Linked DNA regions of Schizosaccharomyces pombe. The protein of the gene in region 1 interacts with the protein of each later gene in a pairwise test. Each region holds a gene or a part of one and is shown on either strand. Other genes may lie near its edges.

Region 1 (7,533 bases):
TTCTGTTCATTGTGCGTGCTAATTGGAATATTATTTTCCAAACAGTAAGCGTTCCATTTCTTTTCTAGCTTGGCACAAATCGTAGGGCCAATTCCCTTCAGTGCCAATGCCTGAGAAGGACGATGAAATGTGATGGGGCAACTTTTCATTGAATCGTAGGCCTAATTATTAGCACGGTTTCTTATTTAAAACAACAACAACAGTGATTGTTATGATATTTATGGAGTACGAAGCTATAAAAGCTTTCGAAAAATTACAGTCATTATTAATTTAATATTTAAATTATTTATTTTTCAAAGAGTTTTTCACTAATCCAATAAATTTCCTACCTTTCTCCAGGTTTGATATGACTTGGGGAAGCGACGCGTCGACTCTTCCATCCACTCCTGTATCCATTGTAAAAACAGCGGATTTCCACAATCCATGGATCCGAAAAACAAAGAAAAAAACTATTTCATTCAAATTATCGATTGTCACACGAAACAAAAGTCTAAACAAATGGATGTGGATAGAATGCGATTTCCTAAATTTCGTGTAAAGACATTAGCATGGTTGCCGGGACAACCGAGATTTTATGATCAGTATAAACAAAATAAAGAAAACAATTATAGGTGAACAAAATAAAAAATCATTATCATCATTATAAAACAGTTTCTCGTGTATTAGGGTATATTTTTAGAAAGTTTGTGAAATGATGAAGCTTTAGATCATAATAAAGCCATACTTGGATGATTTTCTGTTTTCCTAAAAGGAAGGGGTTTAAGAAGATCCCTTTTGTTTCTCGAGCTGCTTGGCAGAAGTATATGCTCTTTGGCGTTCCCATAGGACAAATTTGATAGCTGCCATGGTTTTATTGACTGCAAGTACACGCTCATTTGAGGCTTTGGGAATAGTCAACTGTAAGCGTTTCATTTCAGCCCTTTGTGTGAACAATAGGTTCTTCTCTCGGAGACAATTGTACCAAAGTCCATGTAGATCATTAAAAGACTTCCAACGAAGCTCTTCTGCAGCCCATGCTCTACCGAATTTAGCCTCTTCCGATGGTGGTGGAAGGGCTTGCTTGTCCCGAAAGAAATTCCACAAAGGGTGCGTGTCTGAAACCTTAGGAGCACTTTTTACTTTTGGAACAGGAAATACAAAGCCCTTTGGAATACGTACGGCTGCTTTCTGAGCGCTAGCCAACGTGGACCTCATCTTTGGTGGTAAGTAGAAGGTGCGCTGTAACACCCTGACATTGACCGATAATAATGGTTGTAAGTCATACTTTAAAAATAATTATTTTTTATTATACTTCATTGACTTTCTTAATTATTGCTAAATTGAGAAATTGTTCATTTCCTTATTTTATTTTATTTTAAGATTTCATGGCGAGGAAACATTCCAAACGAAAAGTTTATAATGTAAACAGAAAGTGTGTAGGGCGATTTATGTATTTTCCCTAGATTTGTTATCGAGTGAAAAGTTTGAATCCATGAAGGAAATACTAAAGTACTTTGATTTGCAGCTAATACATGGTGTAATGATACATTGCTTTCGACCGCTTATAAATTTATTTCGAGATTAACGGGACGCAACCGTTTAATTAAAAACGGGAAGTAAAGAAATTTTTTTTGTCTATACATTTAGAAAAATTTGTTCAGTTTCATAAAACAGTAGCACATAAATTTTGAGGATCATCGGTGGGGAAAGAGACAGGCACCAATTTAGGTACCTTACGGTTTCGTTGAAAAGTAGGAAGTAAAGAGGGTTGGAGGTGAGGGTATTCTTCGACTGTTGCTATTTGATAGATGCTACCGGAACGGACCAGTTGACCTTTATTTACCATCCAACGAATGGCCTCGGAAGCGCTGTCGTGAAAAGTTGGTAACAATGGTACGTTTTGAGCAAGCCAGTTAAATATTTCATCTTTGGAAGGTGAGAGGGTGTTACGAATAGCTAACCGTATTAACGTTGGATAGTCGTATAAGGTTCCAGAATTCGCAACATAACTTGCGGTATAGGGGACAGGTGCAGGCTCATCAGAGGGAGCTTCATCTTGTTTAGCATGAAGTCGCTCTTGTAAAGATATTTGTTGGCGTTCAGAACTAACAAGTAGTTGATGCCGAATCTCACCCAACAACTCCCGAGTACGTGGGTTGTATATGGGAAGAGATGGATAAGACTTTTCACAAAAAAGAATAAGATCTGCGAGATGAGGAGTAGGTAAACTTGATAGATACATTTTTTTGTCTGATTCACTTAACCCAAGATCTTGTGCCGTCATTCCCGTTTCTAAAGGTTGCTTGGCACGCCTGTACTGGCATTTCATACAAAACCATTCAGCATCCACATCCTGAACGGTTGCATCGTCAATCGGAGGGTGATGGCAAAGCTGATGATATGGAGAATTGCATCCATCACAAAATACGATTCGATTAGATAAAGGAGAATGTCCTCGTTGACAGACGCTACACAAGGTGACCATATCGACCTTGCGACTTTTCCGTTTCAATGCGGTGGCATTAGGATTGTATGCGACTGGCCGCTGAATCTTTCTACCCGATTTTGTTTTCATTCCTTCCACGTGAAAGTCTTCCTGTAAATCATCCTCGGCACCTTCTGCAACATCGAGATCGTAAAATGGTATACGATTATCGTCTTCCCGACGAGACGATCGAATGCGTCCATTCTTAGTCTTGGTTGATGCAGACTTGGGCAAGCGATTGAATGATACAGACAAAGAAGGATCTTGCTCCGGTGGTACTGAAGTAGCGCCTGAAGAGGAAGATGCAGGCATAGTCATACCGCCATACGGTGTCTGTACATGCTGCTGCAGTTGATGGAAATCAGCGCCAAATGGTCCAACATCGGAAATTCCAGAACCCGATGCGACAGGGGAAGCATCAAAATTCGAGCTGTCCGTTTCTCTAACTACACCTTGAGCCGATACCTGAGGAAGGGATGAATCAGCACCATTTTCAAAATGGAAACCGGCATAGTCATTTACACCATAGCTCTTTCCTTCGTCGAAAAAATTCTTTTGAGACATTGTAAAAAACGAGGACTAATAAATATGAGTAATTTGGAAAATTTTGATTTAAAACGAAATGCACAATTAGATGAAACTAGCAAACATGAAACGCAAATTAAAATGATGATACACGCAATTGTCACGCAGTGAATGTTAATTCAAAATATCTGAGACCATAGAATAACTTTATGTAAAAAGTAAATCTTCCTAAATCTCAATTCATTGATGTAAATTCGCCATTCAACGAAAGATGAGTTTAACACGCGCGTCTCAAGAAGAAGGTATGCATAGGCCATATAAAACTGGCATCGTTTTACAGAGCCAGCCTTACATTACGGTAACAACATAAGCAACAAGACATTTTCATTCGTTAAAATGCACAAAGCACATCGTATAAGACACGTTAATCATCACTAATCTAGCTTCTCGGCATAAAAAAATTTTAAAGTAAAACGCACAATAGCCTATGTAAGCGGTCCAATAAGTAGTAAGTTGATAACTTTAATTAGTAAAGAGGGCGAATCAAAAGCTTTATATATATCTAAACTTTACTAAATTGGCCAATCAGCAATGCGTTTTGAATCAACAAAATGAGGTATGACAAAGAGAATTTCTTGCTCTACATCCCGGCAGTCTTTTGTTCGTCTACCAAACAACAAGGAAAAGGCATTTTGGGCATACATATGCCAAACTTGTGATCCTTCACAGTACAAATTGCTCAAAGATGCCTGTCTTTATGTTTGATGAGCACGACAATTTGAATGAGAATTACAATTCCCATTTGTCTAGTGACGATGAGATTGCAGAGGAGGGATATGATTTTGAAGAATTGGAGGCATCTGCGTCGACAATCACTTCGTCAAGTGATTTGAAGGATGGAAAGAATGCCAAAGATGAAAAGGGGACGGTAGAGTTTAAGGTTGCTGCCCATGGTGATTTTATTTCTTCCAAGGGTGACAACTATGTACCAAGCGGAAAGATGCGTCCAGCAGACTTTCAACCCTTAACGGTATTGGGTCGTGGCTCTTACGGAAAGGTGCTCCTAGTGAAGCAAAAAAATACTGGACGACTGTTTGCTCAGAAACAGCTAAAGAAAGCTAGCATTGTTCTTCGTGCCAAGGGCCTCGAACAAACCAAAAATGAGCGACAGATATTAGAAGAGGTTCGACATCCGTTCATTTGTCGCCTTTATTATGCTTTTCAAGACCACGATCGTCTTTATCTGATATTGCAATATGCACCTGGAGGAGAGTTATTTTCTCATTTGGCCGAGCAAAGGATGCTTCCTGAGGATGTGGTTGCTTTTTATACTGCTGAATTGACTCTAGCATTGATACATTTACATAAACTTGGTATTGTGTATCGGGACTTAAAGCCAGAGAATTGTCTTTTGGATGCTGAAGGCCATATCCTTCTTACAGACTTTGGATTGTCAAAGGTGGCTGAAAATGGAGCTGATTGTCGTTCTTTTGTAGGCACTGAGGAATATTGTGCTCCAGAAATTTTGTTGGAGCAGCCATATGATCATGCCGTCGATTGGTGGTCTATGGGTATCCTCATATTCGATCTTCTTACAGGATCTCCCCCCTTCACCGCCAACAATCATAAGAGAATTATGGAAAAAATCACTCGTGCAAAGCCTAACATACCTTTTTATGTGACTTCTGATGCTAGAGACATTATCAACAAATTTCTCAAGAAAAATCCAAAGCAACGCCTCGGCGCAGATGGTCCCGAGAAAGGTTACGATGCAATAAAAAAGCACAGAATTTATCGCCGAATTGATTGGAATAAGTTAGAGAAGCGCATGCTGCCTCCCCCAATTGTTCCTTGCATCACCAATCCTGAGGCTGCGGAGAATTTTTCAGTCGAGTTTACCAAATTGCCTCTTTCTACAACACCCATTCTTCATGAAGAATTTGGGAATTTAACAATTGGTAGCCATTCCTCTGCTTTTCAAGGCTTTACCTATGTTGCGTCTCCCAATTTTCTCAACTGTGAATTTTTATCTAACAACGCAGTTTCGAACCATTAAATAGGTTTCGCTAAAGCATCATTTACTAAGTGCTTTTTTATTTTATGTGTGAAAAGGATATTTTATTTTAAACAAACTGATTATTCTCACTATATCATAACTCCTTTCATCCTTTAGGGACTCATAATACTTGAAGAAACTCCATTAATTAATCGTTTTCTATCGAACATCGATCCTTAAGATTCTAAGATTTTAATTATAATTACTGTTAATTCTTTCATTAGTTGCTTCTTTACTTAATCCCTTTTCACTAACCATATTATTATTACACAATAGAAAACTTTAATTTTATATATATTTATATACATACTTTACAAAACATCGGTCAGCTTAGTGTTTTCTTTAATATATCAATTGTTCATACTTTATATTAACATTAAAAACAATTTCCTGTTGAAACGAATTAGCAACAAATGATTTATAAAAATACAGACTGAGGGCTAACTACAAAAAATGATAAAACAGTGATCTTATAATGCTATGTTAATAATATCAAGCATGCCGACATTAGTGACTCGATTCCCAGTGTCAACGGGAGATAAAATCGATTGTTATGCAAACAAGAAAGAGGCAATTATACAAAAGAGACATATAAATAGATCGATTTGCAAAAATAATGGCATATGCCCGAATAAAACGAGTGTATAGTGGAGTCAATGACTACCTAAAATAATAATCTGCTGAACAAATAAGTGATGGAACGACGTTCATACAAACATTTCAAAATTAATAGAATAAGGGCTGTTCAATGTAGCAATGTAAAAAAATAATAAAAATCTGAACCAATCAACCAAATTCTTAACGAACAAGGGCATTCATAAAATTAGTAACGAGAGTAAAGGTTTGACAGGTTTGACAATGGGCAAACTCAATTGGTAAACAGACATAACTAAGTAGACTTCTTCAAGTGATTATGAAGCTGAGATATTATATGCGACTTGCTGAATCGTGATGATGAACGACTAAGGTGATGTTTCGAAGAATCACTCATTTCAAGCTTTGAAGCAGAAGAGTTACGCTTTTTTGCAACCTTTTCTCTTCGACGCTCTATATCCTTTTGGGAGGGAGTGCGCCTAAAATTCCTTCGGAAACACAAGGAGAGAAATGCATTAGCGTCAAGTAACGATTTGGGTAAATCTTGAATCACCTGAAATACCTCTGTCTGCTCACTTTTCGACTTTATATCATCTTCACCAAGTCTTAAAATACACAATGCCGTCATAAACAAAACTTTGCTGCCTTCATAGAAAAAACAATCCCATACACGAAGAGCAGTCTCCGTAGGTAAAATGCCAACAAAGGCACTCATAAACCAGGCAGCAGTTACGAGAGTAATGGGAGGAAGCTTTGCCACAATATCATTGACGGGTATACCATCAAAATTAAGACTGATGCGGCTCCAAACCGCTGGTAAGCTTTCTCGAACGGATGCCATCAAAACACTTTGGTCGATGTTAGCACCTTCTAAATTGGCATCATGCATCTTTGGTAAATATTTACGACACGTAATTACGAGCATCCAAAACGCCTTTTCTTCACTCATAAAAAGCAGGAAGAAACCAGCAAGAAAATTCAAGCTTTGACAGTAACCATTTTCAGGTAAGTATGTTGCAAAAGTCATTAGAACACGACGCAGTTTTGAAATCATTGGAACATCAGGCTCCTCTGATGAATGCTCTGATGCGTCGGATGAGTTCCTAGAATGCTTGGATTTATGTCGAAAATGTACATTGTCTGGAAAGGTACGATATAGATCACGTTCAATAAGGTCAGAATCTGAGGGCTTTTTTATGCACGCACAACGCCATAGAGTCTCGTACAGTTTAGGGTTTCTCTGAAGTAATTCGTAACCACCGCTGTAATAAAACCAGGCATTGCCACGATACTCGGGTGGTATTCCTTTGCGAATAAATCGTTGAGTTTTAGCACTGCGGCTAGGAAAAATACTAGGAGATTGGTGTATATAGTCTATACCGTTTTCTTGAAGGAAAAGCTTCCATCGCTGTTCGCGACGCTCCAGGTAGCGGCTGTAAGGGCCATACCATGTGTTGTATTGGTCAACGGTATAAAACTGGTTGGCTTTTTTGAAACCATATATATCCCAGCTTGAATGGGAGGGCTTGTACTTTTTGGGTCCTCGGAGCTTTTTGGTGAGAGGACCTTCTTCATAAGTGACGTCGCAATTAAGGGAGTTGGTTTTGAAAGGAAGGCTTGGATCTGTTTGGGATGAACGCTTTTCACTCTGGGTTTCGTTGGTAATAGTGGCAGCGGTGACGGCGGAAAATTTGGAGGAGGACGTTTCAGTACTAAGGCATGATTCACGCTTCGAAAGTTCAGTAGAAGTAGATAAGAAATCAGTTGGAGGTATCTCTAAAGAAAGTCTGAACTTGCTTTCGTATTCATTGTTAGAATCAACGACTGGATTCTGCAGATAAGCACATGATGTAAATGCAGGATGATTACTAGGCGTAATTGAAGCATAGTCAGA
Region 2 (6,602 bases), on another chromosome or scaffold:
TTCCGCATTCAATCCAAATTTGGTCAAAGCGCTAACGGCAGCGGAACGTACGATGGCATTCTCAAGCATAATCCGATTGTAAATATAGCGGATAAATCTCGTTGGTTCTGAGGCTTTAGGACCTTCTTCGCCGAGAATAGATAAAATCCGTACCGCAATCTTAGGATATTCACAATCCTCTATAAATTCACATAACTCGGCAAGGGCTCGTTCTTTAGATTCCGGAATGTATTTAATCATGTCAGAAATAGCATCAACGGCAGCACGTTTAAATTCATAACCACCTTCATCGCAAAGTATATTACTAAGAAAGGTAAGCATTGAATCTTGCTTGCGAGGAAATTTTAGACATAAAGAACGAATGGCATCAACGACGATAATTTTGAAATTATCTGAAATATCGGACATAAAGGTAACAATCTGTTTCATCAAACGGTCGACAGACTCATCATTACCAGTCTTTAGAAGTGTTGTGATAGCGTAGGTGGCAATGGAGCGATTCACGTCGGTAATTAAAGACTCGATATTAAGATTGCAGGAATGTACTAAGTGTGGACGTGTCATGGCTAACTCGTTAAGCGTACGAATAGCTGAAAATCGGGTAGCGGATCGGTGAGACGACAAGAAAATTTTAAGAACGCTAACCACAGGTTGCAAGTCATCATCTGAGATATTTTTGAGACGGACCATATTTCTAGCAACTTCTAAGTTTACCATGTCTCCTTTACTTTTTAACCACCCATGTAGAAATGGAACCATCTGGTCTCTAAATTGAGTGTTTTGATCCATTAGACTAGAAATGTAGCGGATAAGCATAACAAATGCATGAGAATTTGAGACTGTTCCTAAATTGCTTACAAGCAGCTGCAATAACTTATTCATTGCAATCGAATCATGTCTTCGAATACGGTACAGAAGACCTAAAGCATGATATTGAGAAATGCCGCTGGCATTTGGTGTGTAACCCAAGGTAGAGGTGAAAAAAGGAGAGCTAGCAACTTTTCTACCAACATTATGAGATGTGACCGCGTCTTGAACCTCGTTGTTCCAACGCGATACAATGTCTTTCGCAACAGGATATAAATGATATGCGGAAACAAGAGCAGCGCTGGCAACAGCTGATATGGGGTCAACAATACCCGTAGTTAAAATGCGTTCAATCGCAGGGACAGTGTTAGCATCAATGACACGAATCAAAGAGCGAATAGCATTAGGACGGTATATAGTTTCACGTCCCGTAGCGGTGTCTTTCATGATACTACTGGTAATCATAATCACATCTTCAGCAACAACGGAAAGCTCCTTGATAATAATATAAACAAATTGGCGAAGACTAGGGTCTTTGTGTTGGAAAAGTTTAGTAATACCAAAAAAGAGTTCTGTAGCTTGCTTTTCCTGGAAATGCTCTCCCGTATATATCAAGTAGGCGATTTTGCTAAGAAGACGTCTACTCTTTCTAGGGCTTATGGAAGATGAATTAAAAGCCCTAGCATCTTGAGTTACTGTGACTTGATTGACATTGGCAAATATCGATTCGTCTATTGTTAAAAGGTCAGCTCATAATTCCAAACAATCAACATACCACCATCATCATCTTTTTTAGAATAACTCATCTTCTTTACAAAAGTCTCTTGTATTTAGCAGAAATACAGATATAGAGAACTAAATGAACGTACTGGATGTATGTAGTAGATAAATAATTAGCTAGTAGGAGGTTTCGATTATTACCAAAGTATAACGTGTTGTGTATTTTATATTTCTTAAGTGGATTACTGAAGTATTTTACGAGCGTTAAACAGTATAACGAAATATGCCCATAAAACACTGCAAAAGTTCGTAACTTACATGGTTTAATTGCTTTGACATTTCTCCTATATCACTTGCGTAATTCGTATATACATACAGAGTCATCTTAATTTTCTCTTATTTTTTTTTGTTTTGTTAATTAAGTTTCCCTTGAGTTCCTGATTTACCGACCTTTTGTACATAGGGAAGAGTTCTTGAAATGTTGTATTTGATTTTGAGCTATGCGACATGAATGATAGAATTAGTGAAGTATCTGGTAGCTCAAGGGCTCGTAGATCAGTCTTAAGCTATGGAACAACCGAGACCGGAAGCGATAGATACACAGAGAACAGCAACATTGCTACAGAGAATGGTGTCGATACAGCGAGTTCAATGATAGATGGGATACAGTCCGGATTCCCGCAACCTAGACATGGTTTTGAAGAAGAGTACAACAATGCTGAATATATAAACATGTTAGAGCAGGTCTTTTACATGTATTACACTGATAAACGGCATCGGGGGGTGATCAGCAAAAAGAATGCCGAACCTACTGAAACAATTCATGATTGGAGAATGCGCGAACGGCTTAAAACTGTTTCTGCAGCATTGTTAGTTTGCTTAAACATAGGGGTGGATCCTCCTGATGTTATAAAGCCTAATCCTGCAGCGAAATATGAATGTTGGATTGATCCGTTTTCATTACCTGCTTCTAAAGCACTTGAAGCCATTGGCAAGAACTTGCAGCAACAATATGAAACATTAAGTATGAGAACAAGATATAGGCATTACCTTGATCCCGCAATTGAAGAAGTCAAAAAACTTTGCATTGGTCAAAGACGAAACGCTAAAGAGGAACGGATCCTTTTTCATTATAATGGTCATGGTGTCCCAATGCCTACTGCCTCTGGTGAAATCTGGGTTTTCAATAAAAATTATACTCAATACATTCCTGTATCGCTTTATGACTTACAATCTTGGCTTGGAGCGCCTTGTATATATGTTTACGATTGTAGCGCAGCTGGGAATATCATAGTGAATTTTAATCGTTTTGCCGAGCAGAGAGACAAAGAAGCTCTCCGTATTGCTAAGCAAAATCCCAATGTGCTCGCTATGCCTTCTCATACTAGTTGTATTCAACTTGCTGCTTGTGGGCCTAAAGAAACCCTTCCGATGAACCCAGATCTGCCAGCTGATTTGTTTACTTCTTGCCTTACCTCCCCAATTGAAATTTCGGTTCGTTGGTATGTCTTGCAAAACCCGTTTCCTAATAAGCTTAATTTGAATATGCTTCTTAAAATTCCCGGTCGCTTGCAAGATCGGCGTACTCCATTAGGCGAATTAAACTGGATATTTACTGCTATTACAGATACGATTGCTTGGAATGTCTTTCCAAAGCATCTTTTCAGAAGATTATTTAGGCAAGATCTTATGGTAGCAGCACTGTTTCGTAACTTTCTATTAGCGGAACGTATAATGCTCGTTCATTCCTGTCATCCTCAGTCCAGTCCTGAACTCCCCCCTACCCACGATCATCCTATGTGGAATTCTTGGGATTTGGCCATTGATAATTGTCTATCTCAGTTACCTGATATGCTTGATGCTGAAAGCAAAGGCATAGCCTACGAGTACAAGCATTCGACATTTTTTAGTGAGCAATTAACTGCCTTTGAGGTATGGCTCTCTCAAGGACTAATTAGCAGAAAGCCACCGGATCAATTACCGCTAGTTTTGCAGGTATTACTTTCACAAGTTCATCGATTGCGTGCACTAATTCTTCTCTCAAAATTTCTGGATCTCGGGGTGTGGGCGGTAGATTTAGCGCTCTCTATTGGTATATTTCCTTACGTTTTGAAACTTCTCCAGTCTCCAGCTATTGAGTTAAAGCCTGTGTTGGTATTTATTTGGGCGAGAATCCTTGCTGTAGATGATTCTTGTCAAGCTGACTTACTAAAAGACAATGGCTATGGATATTTTGTCCAAATTTTGAACCCTAATTCTTCCATTTTTCCTTCAAGTAATATTTCCGAACACCGAGCAATGTGTGCGTTCATCCTCAGTGTTTTTTGTCGTGGGTTCCCACAAGGCCAGCTAGCTTGTTTAAACCCACAGGTTTTATCACATTGTCTTTCCCATTTAAATAGTCCCGACTCTTTATTAAGACAATGGGCTTGCCTATGTATTTCTCAGCTTTGGGAAAATTACTCTGAAGCTAAATGGTCTGGAACTCGTGATAATGCACATGTAAAATTAGCTGAAATCATCGTTGACTCCGTTCCTGAAGTTCGTGCATCAGTTTTAACAGCGTTTACCACTTTTTTGGGATTTCCTGAGAAGACCGAAGAAGTCGTTGCTGTTGAAACTTATATTGCAATTGCGGCGTTAGCAGCTCTTTCTGATGCGTCACCATTAGTTCGACATGAACTAGTGATATTCCTTTCTCACTTTGTAGTGAATTATAAGAAGCAATTAATGGTAGTTGCGTATGAGAGCAGTTTAGCAGATATCCTTGAGAAAAAGAACCACAATTCTATCAGTGCTTCGACAATTTACGAAACAGTTTGGCAAGCTGTTTTGGTTTTGGCTGCAGATCCAAGCATCGAAATTTCTCTTGCAGCTGAAGCCATAATAAATTACGTTTATCAGAGTATGCTAAATTCTGAATTAAGAGAATCATTTTTAGCATTTCTTCTGCAACACTTACCTGCTCTCCATAAAGCTTCTCTTTCCAAAGATACCGATACTAATTCAGTTACGAGCGACCCGAAGCCACATCCCTTCGTTCCTTCTGTTTCAGAAAACAAAATCTTGAACAGGTCATTCTCTCTGACTAGATCGTTGAAAGGCTTGGCTTTAAGCCTGGCAGGAAGTGATCGCGCTTCTGAATTACTTTCCTTAAATGGAGAAAACAAACCTGCAGAGTCTAATTTAAATCACTTAACTTCCGCCAAAGTTCCTGGTCCACCTGCATTTAATGAACTTGAATACCAATCCGAGCTAGACATGCCGCTTACAAGTTACTTATTTGATTGGTCTCGTAAGTATTTTACCGAACCCCAAATGCGGCCGAACGAAGACGATGAACCTGGAAGTATTTGCTATAATCAACGTTTGTGGAGAAGAAACAGAAACGAAAAACTTATTTATCGTACTCGTCCCCTTGCTGAATACTCAACCAACGGTCGTTGGAATCAACAACTTATGACATTTAATAATACTATCGCTCCTAGGAAGCTTATGTTTCACCAATTTGAAGATCAGTTAATTACATTAGGTGACAAAGATATCATTCAGGTATGGGACTGGCGTCGCAATCGTTGCCTCAATTCTTTCAAAACTTCAGCAAGTGCGACAACTAACGTGACCGACATGCAATTACTAAATGAAGATGATGTTGCTTTATTGATGACTGGGTCTTCTGATGGCACAATTAAACTGTATCGTGACTACGAAAATGAAAAGGTTGAACTGGTAACTTCGTGGAATTCTCTAAGTGATCTTGTCTTTGGAGATCGAAATGCTAGCCTTTTAATGAGTTGGCAACAGAACTGTGGGCACTTGCTTGTTGCTGGAGACGTACGCGTTATTCGAATATGGGATGCTTCTAAAGAAATCTGCTATGCAAACCTACCAGTAAGAAGCAGTAATAGTATTACAAGTTTAACTAGCGATTTGGTCGGTTGTAATATTATAGTTGCTGGATTTTCAGATGGAGTTCTTCGTGTTTACGACAAACGATTGCCTGCAAGAGATTCACTAACGGATGTTTGGAAAGAACATTCGTCCGAGATCGTCAATGTTGAAATGCAATCCTCCGGAATGCGAGAATTGATTTCGGCGAGTTCAGATGGTGAAGTTAAGCTATGGGATATTAGGATGAATCATTCTTTACAGACTTTTTCAACAGACAACTCTGGACTCACCTCTTTAACTGTGCATAGTCACGCCCCAGTTTATGCAACCGGTTCCTCAAATCAAAGCATAAAAATTTGGGACACGTTAGGCCAGAATATTAATACCTTCCGTGAAAATCCACGGTTCCTTAATCAGCCTAAACCATCCAGTTTAATGTGCCTGAAGTTTCACCCGCATCATTTATTACTTGCATGTGGTGATAACACAGATAGTAGAGTTAATCTATACTCTTGCACCAAAAACGAGATTCATACGGATTCGCCGAACGAGTTTTAAACCATGTTTTCCTATAGTTTTAACATAATTTATTATTGATTACTTTACCTGATTAGACTTTTCTTTCTATTAGCAACACTTAATTTGGTTATTATACATATTTTGCTAAACCTGCCACTTTGCTTAGTCTTCTCCTTTGCCGTGTAACTCTGCTATAGATATTTGTAAAACCAATTTTTAATATGGTTTTGAAGAAGTTTAAAAAATCACTAATTTACAATTAAGATATTACATTCATCGAAAAATTGAATCTTTTATATACATTTTATGAAAAAGCTAGTAATTATCAATGTTTTTTAATGTCAAGAAAAAAAAGCTTTTTTTAACTTAAAAAATAATTAATAATATACTAATATACCAATTTATTTATTTATTCACAATTTCATGTTTTCGCATTGTACTATTACTTTCTTATATTCGGGTCGTAAATTCTGATGCAGCTGAAGCTAACGAAAACTCTCCCATTCAGCGAAAATTTTATAATGGCAGATTCCGAAGAATACAAGACTGTCATTGGAATTTCTTTTGGAAATCAAAACAGTTCTATTGCTTTTAATAGGGTAAGAAAATTTTTTTACTTGGAGAAATGAGTAATCTCCTAGTTCATTCGCATAGACTTGCTTTAT

Evidence for each region. Proteins that work in one complex are often made in the same cells at the same time.
Region 2: the proteins of psk1 (region 1) and mip1 interact in a two-hybrid assay, tested with the Schizosaccharomyces pombe proteins (one study listed by BioGRID).

Annotation. Positions count from the first base shown.
Region 1 is NC_003421.2:455,612-463,144, reverse strand, and holds psk1 (serine/threonine protein kinase S6K family Psk1), read left to right. Parts: upstream 1-3,649; 5' UTR 3,650-3,734; coding exon 3,735-5,045; 3' UTR 5,046-5,436; downstream 5,437-7,533. Other genes in the region: Holliday junction resolvase subunit Mus81, read right to left, coding at 1-161, 330-425; mrpl4 (mitochondrial 54S ribosomal protein uL29m), read right to left, coding at 760-1,194; PHD finger domain-containing protein Phf1, read right to left, coding at 1,643-3,028; GTPase-activating protein Gyp3, read right to left, coding at 5,935-7,533.
Region 2 is NC_003424.3:1,516,723-1,523,324, reverse strand, and holds mip1 (WD repeat-containing protein), read left to right. Parts: upstream 1-1,882; 5' UTR 1,883-2,034; coding exon 2,035-5,976; 3' UTR 5,977-6,102; downstream 6,103-6,602. Other genes in the region: coatomer gamma subunit Sec21, read right to left, coding at 1-1,538, 1,583-1,613; ssz1 (putative heat shock protein Pdr13), read left to right, coding at 6,459-6,536. UniProt on the Schizosaccharomyces pombe protein: Component of TORC1, which regulates multiple cellular processes to control cell growth in response to environmental signals. Tor2 is essential for growth. Nutrient limitation and environmental stress signals cause inactivation of TORC1.